4 linked regions of the Arabidopsis thaliana genome follow. The protein of the gene in region 1 interacts with the protein of each later gene in a pairwise test. Each region holds a gene or a part of one and is shown on either strand. Other genes may lie near its edges.

Region 1 (3,066 bases):
TTTGATTGTGTAACAGAGTCATTTGTTTAAATGGGTTGAGGATGCTGTATACGAAGAGGTTGAAGATGTTTTACCAAAATTTGTGATCATTGCAAATGAGCTTAACAAAGCCAAATCCGAGGCAAATGAGCTAATTGTGATGATACATGAACTAAAAGAAGAAGCAATGTTGAGTAAACAAGAAATCTGCAAGTGGAAAGTGTGTTTGAAAATATGTTTTTTTGGCTTTGTTTGATCAGCATTTTCATTCTTTACATGATGCTTGGTAAGGCAAAAAAAAATGAATTTGTTGTTGCTTAATAGTGTAGGTCTATCTATCTTGTTGTCTTCGGCAAGCTTGTAATGACAATGTAGTATTTGTGACTTTTATGACTTTGTAATGTTGGCTTTGTTGCTGTCTTAATAAAACTTGTGAGTGTTTGGTCTTTATTTTTCTTGGGTGAATGTGAGTGTTTGGTCTTGATATAAGGTGTGAGTGTTTGGTCGGTGTGAGTGTTTGGTCTTGATATGAGAATCGGAGTAAAGAGATGGAATAATTTCACTCAAACAAAAACTTGTCTTAAAACTATGAGTGATTAAAAGTAGTTAACCAACATGTCTTAAAACTTGCCGAACCAAAAATCAAACAACAAAAGAGACAACAAAAGAGACATCTCAAGTTATGAAACAATCCAAATACCAACAACCAAAGACCAATCGATGTTCTCATGTCAAGTTTGAACACTCAAACCATGATCTCCATCCTTCTACTCCTTTTCGATTTTTTCCTTCTATTGTCACCATCTAACCTGTTACCATTCTGTTTCGATTTTTTTCTTCTCCTATTGTCAACGACAGAATGAGACGGCCTAGTAGAAGGCTCGTGAACAGCAGGAGCCTCGACAGAAGCACGTCATAGCTCAGCAACAGACGGAGGCTCGATAGCAACAGACGGAGGCTCTATGGAAGCAGACGGAGGCTCGATAGAAGCAGACGGAGGCTCGACAACAACATGAGGCGGCTCAACAACAGGAGGAGGCGGGTCGACATCAGCAGGCAGCTTCTTTCTCATCATTACAGTTTCGAATTTCTCTTCCTCGATCGACAAAAGAGAATTGAGAATTTTTGTTTTTTAGGGCTCGTGATTTTTCAAATCGAATTGGGGAAGTTCAGTCTTTTTGATAAAACGACGTCGTTTACTAAAACCGAAACTGTGTCGTTTGCAAATTATGTCTCTGTTAACGTCTAATTAACCCTGTCAATTAAGTCTGTTAACCCAGATAACGACAAGACTAAAATGGCGCGGTCAACACAAGTTTAAGATTTATTAGAAAAGTCAACAAAAGTTCGATGTTTTTTTCGTTTCAAATAAAGTACGGGATTTAAATCAACGTTTTAGCAAAGTTCAGGATTTTAATGACATTTTTCCCTTTGTTAATTCAATCATCATGTGATATGTGAAGATAATCTGCTGTATGTAGTAAATAAATTTTGAAGTCATCTGATTGTAATAATGTAATAATATATAGAAGTAAATGTTACTTATTGGGCTTCTCTATTTTACTAAGATGCAAATGAATTAATATTTTATAATTTATTTATTTTGTCCTAAGTATACATGTCTTTTTTGTCTTTTGTCTGAATCTTTCTCGTCGGAAACACAGATCTCAGTTCCTTACAGAAGAATCTCCGACTCGTTTCTTTGCCGGCATTCTCAGATTTCCGGATACTAGCCATGAGCAGTGATGGTTCCGCCGGAAAGGTACGTCTCCGTATTTGTAATTTCCGATGAAATCGAACTGTGTTTACCAATCACGCTCCTCTCTGATCCATAATTGGTTTTTAAGTTCCAAATCTCTGTTTATTATTGTTAGATCTGTTATGAGCTGAATAGAAGAAGATCATCAATTTAATCTGTTGCTTGTTGTGTTGTCTTGATCTTGATGATCCTCTCGCATGCATTGTTTATTTTGAACATGATCTGGTTATTTACAGGGAATTTCAATTGTATTCATGGATTAGTTTCGTTAGGTTTACATGATGTCAAATATCTCACTTTGGTATGGATTGTTGCATACATTGTTTGTGAATTTACAGGCGGTTGTTGAAGCCAAAGGATTGAACCCTGGATTGATAGTGCTGCTTGTTATTGGAGGTCTGCTTGTGACATTTCTCATAGCCAATTACGTTATGTACATGTATGCTCAGAAGAATCTACCTCCAAGGAAGAAGAAGCCTCTTTCCAAAAAGAAGCTCAAGCGTGAGAAGCTGAAGCAGGGAGTCCCTGTGCCCGGCGAATAGATTCCAGCTTCTTCAACAGTCTGTGTTTTTAACCTGTAATCACAATGTCATTGAGACTTTTGTATGGGAGAGTAGCAAACGTCCCTTGTTCTGTTTTGGTTAGACTACAAAAATTGAATCTCATCAACTTCTGTTTTCCCTTCACATATTTGATTGCAGTTGTAGAGTCTATCATGTTCACTTTACTTTATTTGTCCATATATCGTTGCCTTTTGTCGGATCCAAAGGGTTTCCCCAAAACTCTTACGTCAATGTTAGGCTTTGCGAATTGTGAAACAAATGAACATTTCAGACAATGTCAAAAGAAATGCGTAAGCAATAAAGATATACATATGTTTGTTTTTCGATAGCAAAAGAAAGACACACGACAAATTACATCCAGAGAAGGCCTTATTCAAAAAGTAAGCAAAAGACAAGGATCATGATTCAAGTTCCACAGAAACACTTGTTTTCACAACGTGTGTAAGCTTCAGTCGACTCAATATTACAAGTGCTCTTTAGACCACTCGACTCTATGTAAGCTTCACTTACGACCCATGGTTTGTTCTATGGGTGGCATCACAACAACGGTGGACTGAGCATTGAAACCTGGGTGAAGAACCTTCCTGCGGAGCTCACGCCCTTCTTGGCAAAGGGCACATGTATGGCAAAGGACATGTGTCACAAAGTCACAAGTCGTCTCCAAGTGTTCCCTTTGCATCTCGTCCTCTATGCAGCCACCGCAGCAACCACAAGACCTGTTCATAGCCTCAAAGCTTCCCTGTTTTTACCCAAAAGAGTTAATCA
Region 2 (5,599 bases), on another chromosome or scaffold:
TAATACCATGATTTCTTTCAAACAGAGGTAGTTTATACAGACTTTTGCATAAAAGTGGAGCAAGGGAGCAATTAGATGAGAGACGTCGCCTGAGTATGGCTTATGATGTGGTATGTTTAATTCCTTATGTTACATGTATGGGTGATTACTTCCTGATCTTGGTGTTTCTTCACATGGAACTTTCTTTCCAATTCTCTGTCACAGGCTAAGGGAATGAATTATCTTCACAATCGCAATCCTCCAATTGTGCATAGAGATCTAAAATCTCCAAACTTATTGGTTGACAAAAAATATACAGTCAAGGTTTGAATCTAAATTAGAAATTGTTGTGTCCAATGTTTTGATTTTGATATTTTATTCCTCTTGTGAGACAAGCTTATATATAAATTATGATTTTTAATTCTAAATTGGTTTGGAGACATTACAAAAAGGCGTTAATCTGCTGAAACTTAAAAGATACAGCAGCCTCAAGCTGTCGTCTTAAAAACAATCAGAACATTATTATTCTAACTCCTCAATTTGTCTTGAAATTTCAGGTTTGTGATTTTGGTCTCTCGCGATTGAAGGCCAGCACGTTTCTTTCCTCGAAGTCAGCAGCTGGAACCGTAAGTTCAGTTTGTTTGAAACTAAAACACGCTGAACAACGTAACTTTCTTCTAGGTCCTATTTCCAATGGAAGCTAAATAATTACTGACTTTGATATATCAGCCCGAGTGGATGGCACCAGAAGTCCTGCGAGATGAGCCGTCTAATGAAAAGTCAGATGTGTACAGCTTCGGGGTCATCTTGTGGGAGCTTGCTACATTGCAACAACCATGGGGTAACTTAAATCCGGCTCAGGTACTTTCCACTCTAAACATCTCAAATAATAATGATATTATTTTGCATTTGGAAGTCCCTCACTCTACATTTCATAACATGCTATATATGATCATACAAAAAAATGTTCCATAGGTTGTAGCTGCGGTTGGTTTCAAGTGTAAACGGCTGGAGATCCCGCGTAATCTGAATCCTCAGGTTGCAGCCATAATCGAGGGTTGTTGGACCAAGTACGTTAAGATTTTCTATCTCTTTTTTGAATTCTTCTTGAATAGACTTCATGTTTATGTATGTGTTTCATTACCAGTGAGCCATGGAAGCGTCCATCATTTGCAACTATAATGGACTTGCTAAGACCATTGATCAAATCAGCGGTTCCTCCGCCCAACCGCTCGGATTTGTAAAATACCCCCGGTCCATTCAAAAGTTGTTATAATCATGATATGCACATATACTCTCAGCATTCTTTTGCTGCCCAGGAGGGAGACACTAGTTAAGATATAGCTTTAAAGGTACATTCCTCATGAGCTATCAATCATATCCTACAGAATCCCATGGTTTTTATACATGTATTATTTTTGCGATCTTTGTCTGCTGTTTTGTTCCCTTTTTAATGTTGCAGATTGTTAAAATGTACATGACTATTGTCACAGGGAGGAAAAAAAAATGTAGTAATGGAAACAATGTGAGGGATATAATCTATCTATCTAGTCCCAAAGGGTAAGCAATATTTTGTTGTTATGTCTTTGTAGCAATGCACTGAAAGCTATATTTAATTACATTGCTGTACATTTATACCGCTAAATTAGTTACTAAGCGAAGGTAAAAAAGAGCAGCTGGTAAATGCTGTCAAAGGGTTTTGCAAACTCAATATGATTCATTGGATTTACATTTGTTCACTGTGCGATTAGTCTGGACTATAAACCAACAGAAATGAAATAAGACTGTAACTTTCGGAGACTCTAATACAGATGAATATAATCCCAAATCGTTAAAAACGCATTGGGACTGAAAATATCTAGATACATAGTCAACTATTTTTGCCTTCGCGTCTAAGTAAGTTCCCACACTTGAAAACGACTTTACCTGTCTTCCGAATTAATCGTTTGATGGATCGGTAACCAATAGGATTGCGTAAATCAAAATTATACAATATTAAATTCTGAAAAAGGAAACACGAAAAGCGAATCAGTGATTTGTGAGGGCCCAGTTCCAAATTAGAAAGCTGACCTGGCAAACGCGCTAAATCACTCCTCCTTTCAAAAATCTCAAGATGACGTGGGACCCACCATCGTCACCACTTTCTCTCCTTCACCAAATCACAGAGAGAGAGAGCTAAGTGAAGCTGCAAGGAAACAACTTTCAATTTCAATGTCGGTTGTACAATTATTTGTCACTAAAGTTTCCAAATTTCTTCTAAACTGATGAATCAATGGAACATGATGACGAAAAAGATAAATCCACGGTGGCGGGAACTGACCCACCCATTTCCACCGCCTCTCTATTCCCCAGATTTTTTTCAATTATCTGACTACAGTTTGTCGGTTACTTCCTTCCCTAAACCTTTATAAACCATTAAACCTCTCATCCTTCTTCTCTTAAACCCCCTAATTATCACACACACCCCAATTTCTCACTCTCTCTCTCACTAAAACCCGTAAATTTTCTACTATATCAAATGAGCCCAAAAAAAGATGCTGTTTCTAAACCAACTCCAATTTCAGTACCCGTTTCGAGACGATCCGATATACCCGGGTCTCTCTACGTCGACACTGACATGGGTTTCTCTGGGTCACCACTTCCCATGCCACTAGACATCTTACAAGGGAATCCAATTCCACCTTTTTTATCCAAGACTTTTGATTTGGTTGATGACCCGACTCTTGACCCGGTCATCTCTTGGGGACTGACCGGAGCTAGCTTCGTAGTTTGGGATCCTCTAGAGTTTGCCAGAATCATACTTCCAAGGAATTTCAAACACAACAATTTCTCCAGCTTCGTCAGACAGCTTAACACTTATGTAATCATCTCTCTTGCTCTGTTTCTGTTTTCTAGATAGACTCATTCTTCTTCTTCTTCTTCTTCTTTCAGTTTTGTTTTGTTTTTATGTTTCTGTAATCTTTTTGATGACCAAAACCATTTTGTATAGATTCTTGAAACTCGTTTTTTGATAACTTGTAAAAAATTACCTGTAATTTTCTTTTCTTTTTGGGATTTGTTTAATCTCTCTATCATGTAACACTGAGTTTTGTATCTATGAAATTTTGGCCTCGATTGGATCTTATAATAACTTCTCATCTGAAATAAGCTTGTAATCTTGTATACTTATGGTTTCGTTTGAATGGAGAATTTTGGTTTATGAAGTTTTGTTATTTTCTCACAATGTTAACTTCAGTCTGGTTTAAGACATCATTACTCACATGTTCTTCACACTTCAGAGGTAGAATCTTTCTAATATCTTGAGATATTTGGTCTTGTCTTGATGTAAATGTGTTTACTTACTTTATCTTGAGCTTGTTTGAGTTGTTTTTTTGGGGTTGGAATGTTTCCAGGGATTTCGAAAGATTGATACTGACAAGTGGGAATTCGCTAACGAGGCTTTCCTTAGAGGCAAGAAGCATCTTCTGAAGAACATTCATCGTCGTCGATCACCACAATCCAACCAAACTTGCTGCAGTAGCACTAGCCAAAGCCAAGGGTCACCTACTGAGGTTGGAGGAGAGATTGAGAAGCTGAGGAAAGAGCGGCGTGCATTGATGGAGGAAATGGTTGAGCTTCAGCAGCAAAGCAGAGGCACAGCTCGACATGTGGACACTGTAAACCAGAGGCTGAAAGCTGCAGAGCAACGTCAGAAGCAATTGCTCTCTTTCTTGGCTAAGTTGTTTCAGAACCGGGGTTTCTTGGAACGCCTGAAGAACTTCAAAGGAAAAGAAAAAGGAGGAGCTCTTGGATTGGAAAAGGCGAGAAAGAAGTTCATCAAGCACCACCAGCAGCCTCAAGATTCTCCAACAGGAGGGGAGGTGGTGAAGTATGAAGCTGATGATTGGGAGAGATTGCTAATGTATGACGAAGAGACTGAGAACACCAAGGGTTTAGGAGGGATGACTTCAAGCGATCCAAAAGGCAAGAACTTGATGTATCCATCAGAAGAAGAGATGAGCAAACCAGATTACTTGATGTCCTTCCCATCTCCTGAAGGACTTATTAAACAAGAAGAGACGACATGGAGCATGGGTTTCGATACTACAATACCGAGTTTCAGCAACACCGATGCATGGGGAAACACAATGGACTATAATGATGTCTCAGAGTTTGGTTTTGCTGCAGAAACAACAAGTGATGGTTTGCCTGATGTCTGCTGGGAACAATTTGCTGCAGGAATCACAGAGACTGGATTCAACTGGCCAACTGGTGATGATGATGATAATACGCCAATGAATGATCCTTAGGATCTTTTCATATATAGTTTAGACCAAAAACCCGTTTCTTATCGGGTGAACTATTAATTCATTATTCATTTTGAATGCACTCTTTATACATATATATAATATTGATGAGTTTGATTGTTCCTTTCTTATTCACTTAATCCAGGGTCTAATAACATTGATTATGAAGGATATATAACACAAAATTATGCTTTTATCTGCTTGAGTAATTAAAATTTTTGCAGGTCTGAAGTGGAACAATGTTTCTTTAAAAGGATTTTTCTCTCTGAAGCTGTCTGGTTTAATCATTTATGTCCCAGGTACGAATGCAAAAGCTCTTTCCTCTCTCTCTCTGTCTTCTTCTTCTTCTTCTTCTTCTTCTTCTTCTTCTTCTTCTTCTTCTTCTTCTTCTTCTTCTTCTTCTTCTTCTTCTTCTTCTTCTTCTTCTTCTTCTTCTTCTTCTTCTTCTTCTTCTTCTTCTTCTTCTTCTTCTTCTTCTTCTTCTTCTTCTTCTTCTTCTTCTTCTTCTTCTTCTTCTTCTCCTTTGCTTGTCTGTTGGGGTATGTTTTGTGTCTTGATTGAAGGAATTTGTACCGGTTTATAACAGATTTATAAACTAATTACAAATTCAATAGCCAGTATTCATGTAATCTCGTCTCACGTTTAGCTAACCTGACGATTACACATAGAAGAAACGGTAGGAAACGAAGAAAAATGATGAAACCAAAAGATTTTTTTTAAAAAAAGAAAAACCTAAATGCAGGAAACGAAGCGCAGAGAACGAAGAAGAAGAAGAAGGAAGATAGGAGATTTTTACCCCAGAACTCCATTGTCTTGAGAGGTACTGTGACCTGAAGGAGACGATGCGTCAAAGAAGAAAGTTCTCGAAGAAGATGATAGCGGTTTCGTCTCTCGAGCGCAGTTTTTACTTTTTAGGGCGTGAACTTGCCGTGAAGTGAAGGCTATTAATCGGACCAAGGGATTTTAGGGCATGTCCCTGTCATTTAAATCTATGCAAATCGGTTATATTCATACTTTGAAATTTTACTATCAAAAAGTTGATATGGCCGAGTTGGTCTAAGGCGCCAGATTAAGGTTCTGGTCCGAAAGGGCGTGGGTTCAAATCCCACTGTCAACATTAATTTTTTCTTACTTGGGCTTATTTAGTTTCGGCCCATCGAATATAGATTGTTGCAAGTGAATCTAGCAGGCCATTATAATGAAATTAAAAATTAACAGTGGGCTTTAAATGCCCATTTTGATATAAAATATATGATGACTGCAAAAATATTCGAAATCAGAAAATTAAGACCAAATGAACATATTCAGTGAATAGTCTGTTAGATGCCATATAG
Region 3 (4,366 bases), on another chromosome or scaffold:
AAAGTAAGACAACAAAAAAAAAAATCTGATAATCAGGGGTGTTCCAGTTTTACCATCGACAAACTTTTTCAAAGTAAATGTATCCACTGTCTGTCCTAATCTAAAGCTGAACAATTAAGGGTTTTAAGCCTCAAAATATATATTTCATTTTGAAAGCACCAAAACTATAAATTTCTTGTAGGACAGTGATTTTTCCGGGTTTTTTTGTTTCTCATGTTATAGGTTTAAGTCTCCAATGCATCATTTTGCTATATTTTAAATATTTATAGGCAAAAAATATTTTGGGTTTTAGGACCAACTCTGAGTGTAGCCGTTGAATAGTCCATTCATCGGATTTTTAATAAACCTTAAACATGACACCAGGTCAAAATAAGAATGATTTAGAAATTGATTCATAACCTAACCTACATAATAATTCTTCCTAAAATAAGACAAAATGTCACACGAAATTATACAGTTTGAGATTTTTCTAAACCACTTTAACATAGAAAAGTCTACAAAATTCTACTAATGGTGTAATAGAGACGTACTTTGATAAAACGTAAATCATTCTTTCAAATAGAGTTGAACTACTGATATTCTCAAAGTCAAACCACCAACATCCACTTGGTTTGCAAGTGTTATGTTTCTCTCTCACTAGATATTCTCTTGATAAAAGGTTTTGCACAAGTGTACTAATATATGCAAAAATAAAGGACCCACCAAAATATGCAACTTGAATTTGGATAGATTCTTATCCAAAAATCAGAAGTTTAGTACATTTCTCTAATCTAACTTCACTTACAAAACTATATATTATGTTCCTCTCGGATCTCTCCTTTCCTTTGTAAAATGCAAATGGGAATATTAAATGGACCCATGAAATGAAGTTACGTTACAAAACCGACGACAACTATAATATTTATTATTTATATATTCTTGTGATGCAGATCAAAATTTAAATTGACTAAAATACCCCTTGCCACGTCAGTCTGACTTGGATTTGCCCCAAAAAGCGTTGAAAAAAATATTATTAAATCCAATAAGGCATAAACAAATATTATTACATGTATATTTTAAATATTACTTTAAGCTCCTCATATTCTTCTGTTTTTATCAATTATACACCAACATTTGTTGTTTATAAATATGAACCCCTAATCGTCCCCTTTCAAACGTGGAATATAAGATCGATATATATTACACATTTGAGTAAACAATTAGGCAATGAAGTTTGTGAAGGAGACTGCATTTCTGATAATCTTAATAATTTTTGTTTTCTTAATAATATTATTTATTTTTTTTATAAAATGGTCTGAAAAATTACAATCATTACATCGTTTCTAACGGTTTTTTCTTTCTTAAAGAATCGTTTTTAAATTTAAAATTTTCGATTATTTTTGATTTTTACCGCTAATCTTGGAATTTATCTTGAGTGCTCAAGAGTGAGTAAAATCCCTTACCTCGAAAAATCCCTTTATGGTAGAGGACGTTGGTGATAGTAACAATTTTTTCTCGTAGCTCGGTCATTGTGTCGGCCATTGTGAGATCGAAGAAAGATATTGAGATAAGGTGGGTTAAGCAGTAGATTCTCCGTTTTCCATTGTCCACTAGGATACAATTTTCTTTTTTGACTCTGATCAGTTTTTTCTATTTTAATTTGTGTATCTTAATATTATTATTCGTTGTAACTGTAGGCGAATCTCACCTTTTTTAAAAACATGTTTTAAGAAAGAAAAAAAAAAGTTTGACACTTTAATTATTTTTTCCATTCTATATATCTTATAAACTAAAAATTGTTCTAAAAAGTAGAAAAATTAGTATAACTAAAACCATATTTCCAGATACTTTTTTCCTTTTATTTATTATTAGTTCTGTTGTTAATAAAAATCGTTATAATTTTTTGTATTATGACCTGTCGTTTTTTAAGATACTACAAGAAAACAGTGACCTAACAGAATAAATCAAAAGTTTTTGCTGTAAATAGAAATACACGACTCTTGTCGGGGCCATTAGGGTAATAATCAGACAATTAAATATCTAACAAAACAACAAAACTTGAAAAGAACATATTATTAAAATGCAAGACTGCCCAATCGGATAAGAAGAAACTGTTTTGACAATTTGAAACCAAAAAAAAATAAATAAAACTAAAGAAACAAACAAATTACAAAAGAGAAAAGATGGAAAAAGTTTTCTCCGACGAAGAAATCTCCGGTAACCATCACTGGTCGGTTAATGGAATGACGTCGTTGAATCGCAGTGCTTCCGAATGGGCATTCAATCGTTTCATACAAGAATCCTCCGCCGCTGCAGACGACGGAGAATCTACGACGGCGTGTGGTGTTTCCGTCTCCTCTCCTCCTAATGTTCCTGTAGATTCAGAGGAATACAGAGCATTTCTCAAGAGTAAACTTAATCTTGCTTGTGCTGCTGTCGCCATGAAAAGGGTACTCACTACTCTGCTCAAGTTTGAGTTTTTTTTTTTTTCATAGAAAAAGAAAAACAAAACCTTTTTATCTGTTAGTTTGATGAGTTCACTTGAAGCTAAGAAACTAATCTTGTTTTGTTATGTTTGAGTGTTAAGATCTTATTGGACCTTTTGTATATGATTTGCCATTATCTTCCTTGAGATTATAATTTGCATTAGTTAATTGATTTTGTGGTGTTAATATTGAAAATTTGATAGGGAACTTTCATCAAACCTCAGGATACTTCTGGTAGATCTGACAATGGTGGAGCCAATGAATCAGAACAAGCCTCTCTTGCTTCTTCCAAAGGTTTTACAATACATCTATGATAAGCCTTTTAAGATGTTATTGATAGTTGTTGTGTTTGTTTTCAAGATTTCTTGTAAATGCTAATGGACCAATCTGTATGCAGCTACACCAATGATGAGCAGTGCTATAACAAGTGGATCTGAGCTCTCTGGTGATGAAGAAGAAGCTGATGGTGAAACTAATATGAACCCTACTAATGTTAAACGCGTTAAAAGGTAACAAATTTACATCCTTTCTTGGACTTGAACATGAACATGAACGTGAATTTGTTTGTTATAGGATGCTCTCTAATAGAGAATCAGCTAGACGGTCCAGAAGAAGAAAGCAAGCACACTTGAGTGAGCTAGAGACACAAGTATGTTACTCTCGCAGCGTTCTTATTCTTTCTCCTTTAACTTTGTTTAGCTCACTTGTGCGACAATCTCCATTTCGTGTAGGTTTCACAGCTTCGTGTAGAGAATTCAAAACTCATGAAGGGTCTCACTGATGTAACTCAAACATTCAATGATGCATCTGTAGAAAACAGAGTTTTAAAAGCCAATATTGAGACACTACGAGCAAAGGTAAAATACTTTCTTTTATCTCTCTGTCTACCAAAACTCGCTATTGAAGCATGTTTGTTTTTGGCAGGTGAAAATGGCTGAAGAGACAGTGAAGAGACTCACTGGCTTTAACCCAATGTTCCACAATATGCCTCAGATTGTTTCAACTGTCTCTCTTCCTTCAGAGACATCAAATTCTCCAGACACTACAAGCAGCCAAGTGACTACACCAGAGATCATTAGCTCGGGGAACAAAGGCAAGGCCTTGATAGGGTGCAAGATGAACAGAACAGCTTCGATGCGTAGAGTTGAGAGCTTGGAACATCTGCAGAAACGTATTCGAAGCGTTGGGGATCAGTAGCTGTTAAAGAAGAATCTTGATTTGTAACATTAATCTTAAGACATATGTTAAGACAAAATGTTGTATGTTTTTGTAAAGAATTGTTTTTTCAGATTATTTAAATTTTTTTTTGTCTTCTTCGTTGATTGTTTGTGTTGAACTTCTAATTTTCATTGTACATGTCTTTTGTTAAATTTACAAAGTTTTTCTAATTTCTGTTAAGAATTACAAGTTTTATCAATTTCACCTAGTGAAACTATTGAAATGGTGATGAGGCAACGATGCAAACGTATAATTTTGGTTATTGAAACTAGAAATTACGAGTTTAATCCCAAATTTCGGCTCTTAGAATCGGGTTTCTATCAATAATTTTTGTTTAAATCCGAATTAGATTATAAATATATATATAAATAAAATAACTATAATTAAACCTTATTAATTTATATTTTTTTTCAAAGTAACCTTTAAATTATGATTTAAGATATTCAATTATGTTCGTTTTTTCGTATCGATTATTTTGATTTGGTTCAGATCGGATAAAACATCTCTAATAAGAATTAATATGCTCTTTTGTAGAATTAATATTCATGAAATATTTAGAAATTTTGTATATTATATAAAATTTAGGAGTACTTTTGACGTATTTTTTTTTGTCGACAATTTCTTTGATTACTAACCCAAAAGGGCAAATTATAAGAGAAGTATAGGTGAAATTTGTGGATCCA
Region 4 (4,212 bases), on another chromosome or scaffold:
TTTCTTCGGTCGTTTTGTATAAGATCATATCAATTTTGATAAATATATTTATATGATCTTATGGGACTCGACTTCTCAACAATGTGTGTTTATGTCTGAAGCTTAAAAACTAGTTCTTAATTAATTTGTTACACGCTTGGTTTTGTTGTTGTTCAATTTCCACGTTTAGGGAGTGTTATTGGTTTGTGATTTTGAAAGAATTTTAGGCCATGATTGGTTGGGCTGTAAAAAGTTTTTAAAGCCACTAAAAAAGTTACAACCCCAAAATTAAACAATCATTCTTTAGCTTTTCTATTTTTTCTCAGAGCCCAAATAATATTTTTTAATTATTTTGTCTGTAAGTTCATGTTTTTCTAAAGCACAATTTTATGGTCTTTAGAAGGTCTATACCTTCTTTCTCTTTTTTTCACTTTTTTCTCATTTTTTTAAAAAACATTACTATAGTTTTCATATATATATATATATATTAAATTTAGTTTTATGGATATAAATAATAGGTAAATATCTACTTTATGACATATATATAACTTACATTGTTTATATATATATATTAAATTGATATTTGTGAATTCTATTATATAACACATAAGTACAATTTACCAATAATATTTTTTTGTTTAAATATACAGACAACCATGATCTTATTTCTACAACCAATTTCTTCAAGTAATAATATTAAATTAATAAAATCTACAGCCTAATTTCTACAGCAATAAAATCTATGGCTACAGTCATCACACATACAACAAAAATTCTACAGCAAAAATCTACAGTTACAGATGAACCAATCACACACTTAATGACTTTAAAAATATATTGAAAGTAGATAAATTAAAGATTTTCAATGATTACTAGAGAGTTTTGCATAATTTCTATGATTAGTTTTTCCAAAATCTTTTTAGGGGTTGTTATTGTTTGTGATTTATATGGATTTTTAGTGACTTGAAATGTCATGAAATTTTTTTTGTTATTCAATTAAAATTTTATAAGACTCTGTTAAAGTTTGGTGTTGTTAGATTTTGATTTGTAAAAAGTAACTTAAAGTCTTTGTAAATCTGGAGTTATTTGATTCATATTTTAATACAGTCATTACAAATTTTGTGTTATTCAACTTAAACAGTTTTCATGATTGTTAATGATTTAAAATATTGTGTTATTGGATTATGATTTTATACTCTTTTCTTCACAAATTAAAATCATGAAAAGTATCACAAAAAGAGAGAGATTGTGAATCATGACTTTGGATATAAACAAAAGCCAATGATACGAACAGATGCAGAAATCTTATTAACAGTGATGACAATATATATATTCTAATGGCTCAAGTTCCACATGTGCTCCGGTAATCTATGTGAAAATCAACACACAAACAACTTTTAGAACAAAGCAGTTTAATCTAACACATGAAAAGTAAATATCCAACAAAATATTTGAAAATAAAACTTCAAGTTCTTCATGGATGGTTCCCTGTTCATGTAACTTTACTTACGAATACCATAGTTTTTGTGTTTATGCGTGTGATTTTCACTTTAGTGGAGATACCTTCTATAGAAGATGGAAGAATAGTATACAATATTTTGGTGATATGTTATAATTTTGGAGAAATCACAAATCAAAGTTTATAATTATATTCAGGGAGATTTTACAAGATTATAAAAAGAGTTTTAATGACTTTAAAAATATATTGAAAGTAGATAAATTAAAGATTTTAAATGATTACTAGAGAGTTTTGTATAATTTCTATGATTAGTTTTTCCAAAATTTTGTAAAGTCTTCTTATCCAGGGAGATTTTACAAGATTTTCAATAATCTTGTAATTTTCAATAAAATCAATTCAATATAACTTTAGATGTTTAGTAGTTCAATTAAGATAAGACTGAACATAATAATTATTTTGTTACTCAATCCAATTTAAAACCTAAATAACTTGGTCCCAAAATTGTTTATATCAAGATGATCAAGTACAAAATTCAAAAAAACTTGATCAAGTCCAAAACTCAAAAAATAAACAAGTAAGATATATTTACTGTTATATCAAGTAAAAACAAAGCAACTATTATTAGTAAACAAAAACAAACTCAAAAACAAGAATCTCCCCTGAAGATACTCAAACAACGTTTTTTTTAATCAATCTTATAATCTGTATTTTACTTAGTCTTCTTTACTAGAGAAATATCCGGCTTATATACCAGACTACTTCTCCTTCTTCCCTTCTCTCATTTCCCAAAAACCATTAACACACAGACACACTAACGCACACATCTCTCATTTTCAAAATCCTCATTTTCATTTCTCAATTCTCCAGAGTCTCTTGTTCTGTTCCCATCGAATGAGCAATACAAAACACATCCACAAAGGGTTACAGGAGAGGCTTTTAGATCTTCTCTTGATCGCTCTTATAGTTTACATGACTCTTAAAGGCGGCACGAGTGGGGCTTGTGCCGCGTGCAAGTACCAACGTAGACGCTGCGCCGCGGACTGCCCCCTCGCGCCTTACTTCCCAGCCGAACAACCGAAACTTTTCCAAAACGTTCACAGGCTATTCGGCGTAAGAAGTATCGTCAAGATCCTCGAAAAACTAGACGAAACTCAGAAACCAGAAGCAATGAAATCAATCATCTTCCAGTCTTATGTCCGTGACCGTTCTCCTGTCCACGGTTGCCTCGGCGTCACGCAACAACTTCAATACATGATCTGGTTTGCTGAAGAAGAACTCAAAGCTGTCAATTCTCAATTACAACTATATCGCTCTCAACCACAAAACGGTCAAAATCAAAACCAAAACCATAATCATAATCAGATGATTCATGAGCTTGGTAGTGATCATAATAAGCAGCAAGAAGATGTTACATCGCAGCAGCTTGACTTGGGTATGGGACTTAACGTTAACAATAATCAGAGCAATGTCGTTACACCATTCTTTAGTTCATTATTACCAGTTTCCGAAACACAACAGCCACAAATGTCTTACACTTATAGCTGCAGTGAGGTTAACAACAATGGCTATAGTCCTCCTGCTTATAATACAGATTCGGGCAAGGAGATTCTGACCAACAATAACAATGTTTGGGGTGATCAGAATCGATTTCTGTATAACAACAACAATGGAGGAGGATACAGCAACCAAAACGAGAGCTGTCATGAGATGAAGAGTAACGGTGTAATGGCAATACAATCACAGCTCGTAAATCTGCAAATGGTATCAAATCATCAGCGAGTGGAAGAAGAAGAAGCTGATCATGAATACGATGAACTCCATCAGTTTCTTGATATCATTGACGATAGGCAATCATTTGGGGATTCTAAAGAAGCGTAGGCCTCAAGGTAGGGGTTTTTTCCTTTGTAAAACTATGAAATATGTATTTTCTTCTTCTTCTGTAGATATGGTGATTGAATTGGAGTATATTGGTGGTTGTAGCTCTGGTGGATCGTTGAAGGAACAGATTGATGAAATTGGAGAGAATGAATTGAGAAGTGCAGCTACTTGTTTCAGTCTAACCAGTGTGAATAATTGAATTGATTTCTCAATTCGTGATCCCTAATTATGCTCTCGAAATTTTGTTATACTTTTGTTGACATTTTATTATTATCTTTTAGTCAGAGACTTAAAGGTTATGAATTCAGAGTTTCTCTAATTTTAATAATATATCTTTTTGGAGTCTCTAATGAACTTGAATATTAGTGCAACGTAACTCTATTTGCTTTATTTTTCTTGGGTTTTTAACTTGTTATTCAAGGGACGCTTCTCTGCTAAAATCTAACATGGCTGAGTGAAGAAGAGAGACACAAGACAAATGTTAATGATGCATTAGCTCCCGAGGATACTCACATTACTCAGGTAATTATACTAGACTTCCACTTATTTATGAAACTCAAAAATGTAATGTTGATCTTGTGTTGAACCTTGAGGAAATAATCAAGAAACTGTGTGTGTTAGTAGGTTAGATGTTGGATCCCGAACTAATACCTAAAGTATCATGCTCCCTAGAAGCTGAAGCCATGTTCATAGGACTACACTAAGTTTTGGAAATATAGGCTACAAGCATGTGATTGTATTCCTCGAATCTGATTCCAAAGAGATGGTTAGAGCAGCCCTACGAATGGCTTCAGCCTTCAGCTTAAAATTGTGTCACATTCAGTTGGTTGTACAAGAACTCTAGTAATCATGGCAGAATATTCTCGAGTGTAATGGTTCAAGAATAATTGATATAT

The links.
Region 2: the proteins of AT2G37120 (region 1) and HSFA3 interact in a two-hybrid assay, tested with the Arabidopsis thaliana proteins (one large-scale study listed by BioGRID).
Region 3: the proteins of AT2G37120 (region 1) and BZO2H3 interact in a two-hybrid assay, tested with the Arabidopsis thaliana proteins (one large-scale study listed by BioGRID).
Region 4: the proteins of AT2G37120 (region 1) and LBD27 interact in a two-hybrid assay, tested with the Arabidopsis thaliana proteins (one large-scale study listed by BioGRID).

Annotation. Positions count from the first base shown.
Region 1 is NC_003071.7:15,593,464-15,596,529, reverse strand, and holds AT2G37120 (S1FA-like DNA-binding protein), read left to right. Parts: upstream 1-1,568; 5' UTR 1,569-1,714; coding exon 1,715-1,741; intron 1,742-2,076; coding exon 2,077-2,280; 3' UTR 2,281-2,566; downstream 2,567-3,066. Other genes in the region: AT2G37125 (GRF zinc finger protein), read left to right, coding at 17-235; AT2G37110 (PLAC8 family protein), read right to left, coding at 2,804-3,040. UniProt on the Arabidopsis thaliana protein: DNA-binding protein that specifically recognizes a negative element (S1F) within the RPS1 promoter.
Region 2 is NC_003076.8:970,582-976,180, reverse strand, and holds HSFA3 (heat shock transcription factor A3), read left to right. Parts: upstream 1-1,854; 5' UTR 1,855-2,497; coding exon 2,498-2,839; intron 2,840-3,371; coding exon 3,372-4,268; 3' UTR 4,269-4,553; coding exon of another isoform or gene 4,554-4,786; intron 4,787-5,007; 3' UTR 5,008-5,039; downstream 5,040-5,599. Other genes in the region: CTR1 (Protein kinase superfamily protein), read left to right, coding at 26-110, 205-303, 537-605, 709-840, 955-1,049, 1,127-1,223; AT5G03710 (replication factor C large subunit), read right to left, coding at 4,554-4,786, 5,062-5,074. UniProt on the Arabidopsis thaliana protein: Transcriptional activator that specifically binds DNA sequence 5'-AGAAnnTTCT-3' known as heat shock promoter elements (HSE). Involved in heat stress response. Activated by DREB2A under heat stress.
Region 3 is NC_003076.8:10,795,944-10,800,309, reverse strand, and holds BZO2H3 (bZIP transcription factor family protein), read left to right. Parts: upstream 1-2,004; 5' UTR 2,005-2,162; coding exon 2,163-2,429; intron 2,430-2,668; coding exon 2,669-2,759; intron 2,760-2,862; coding exon 2,863-2,974; intron 2,975-3,038; coding exon 3,039-3,114; coding exon of another isoform or gene 3,115-3,196; coding exon 3,197-3,322; coding exon of another isoform or gene 3,323-3,389; coding exon 3,390-3,662; 3' UTR 3,663-3,853; downstream 3,854-4,366. UniProt on the Arabidopsis thaliana protein: Transcription factor involved in controlling responses to starvation. BZIP2-BZIP63-KIN10 complex binds to the ETFQO promoter to up-regulate its transcription.
Region 4 is NC_003074.8:17,659,125-17,663,336, reverse strand, and holds LBD27 (LOB domain-containing protein 27), read left to right. Parts: upstream 1-1,982; 5' UTR 1,983-2,329; coding exon 2,330-3,316; 3' UTR 3,317-3,324; intron 3,325-3,418; 3' UTR 3,419-3,657; downstream 3,658-4,212.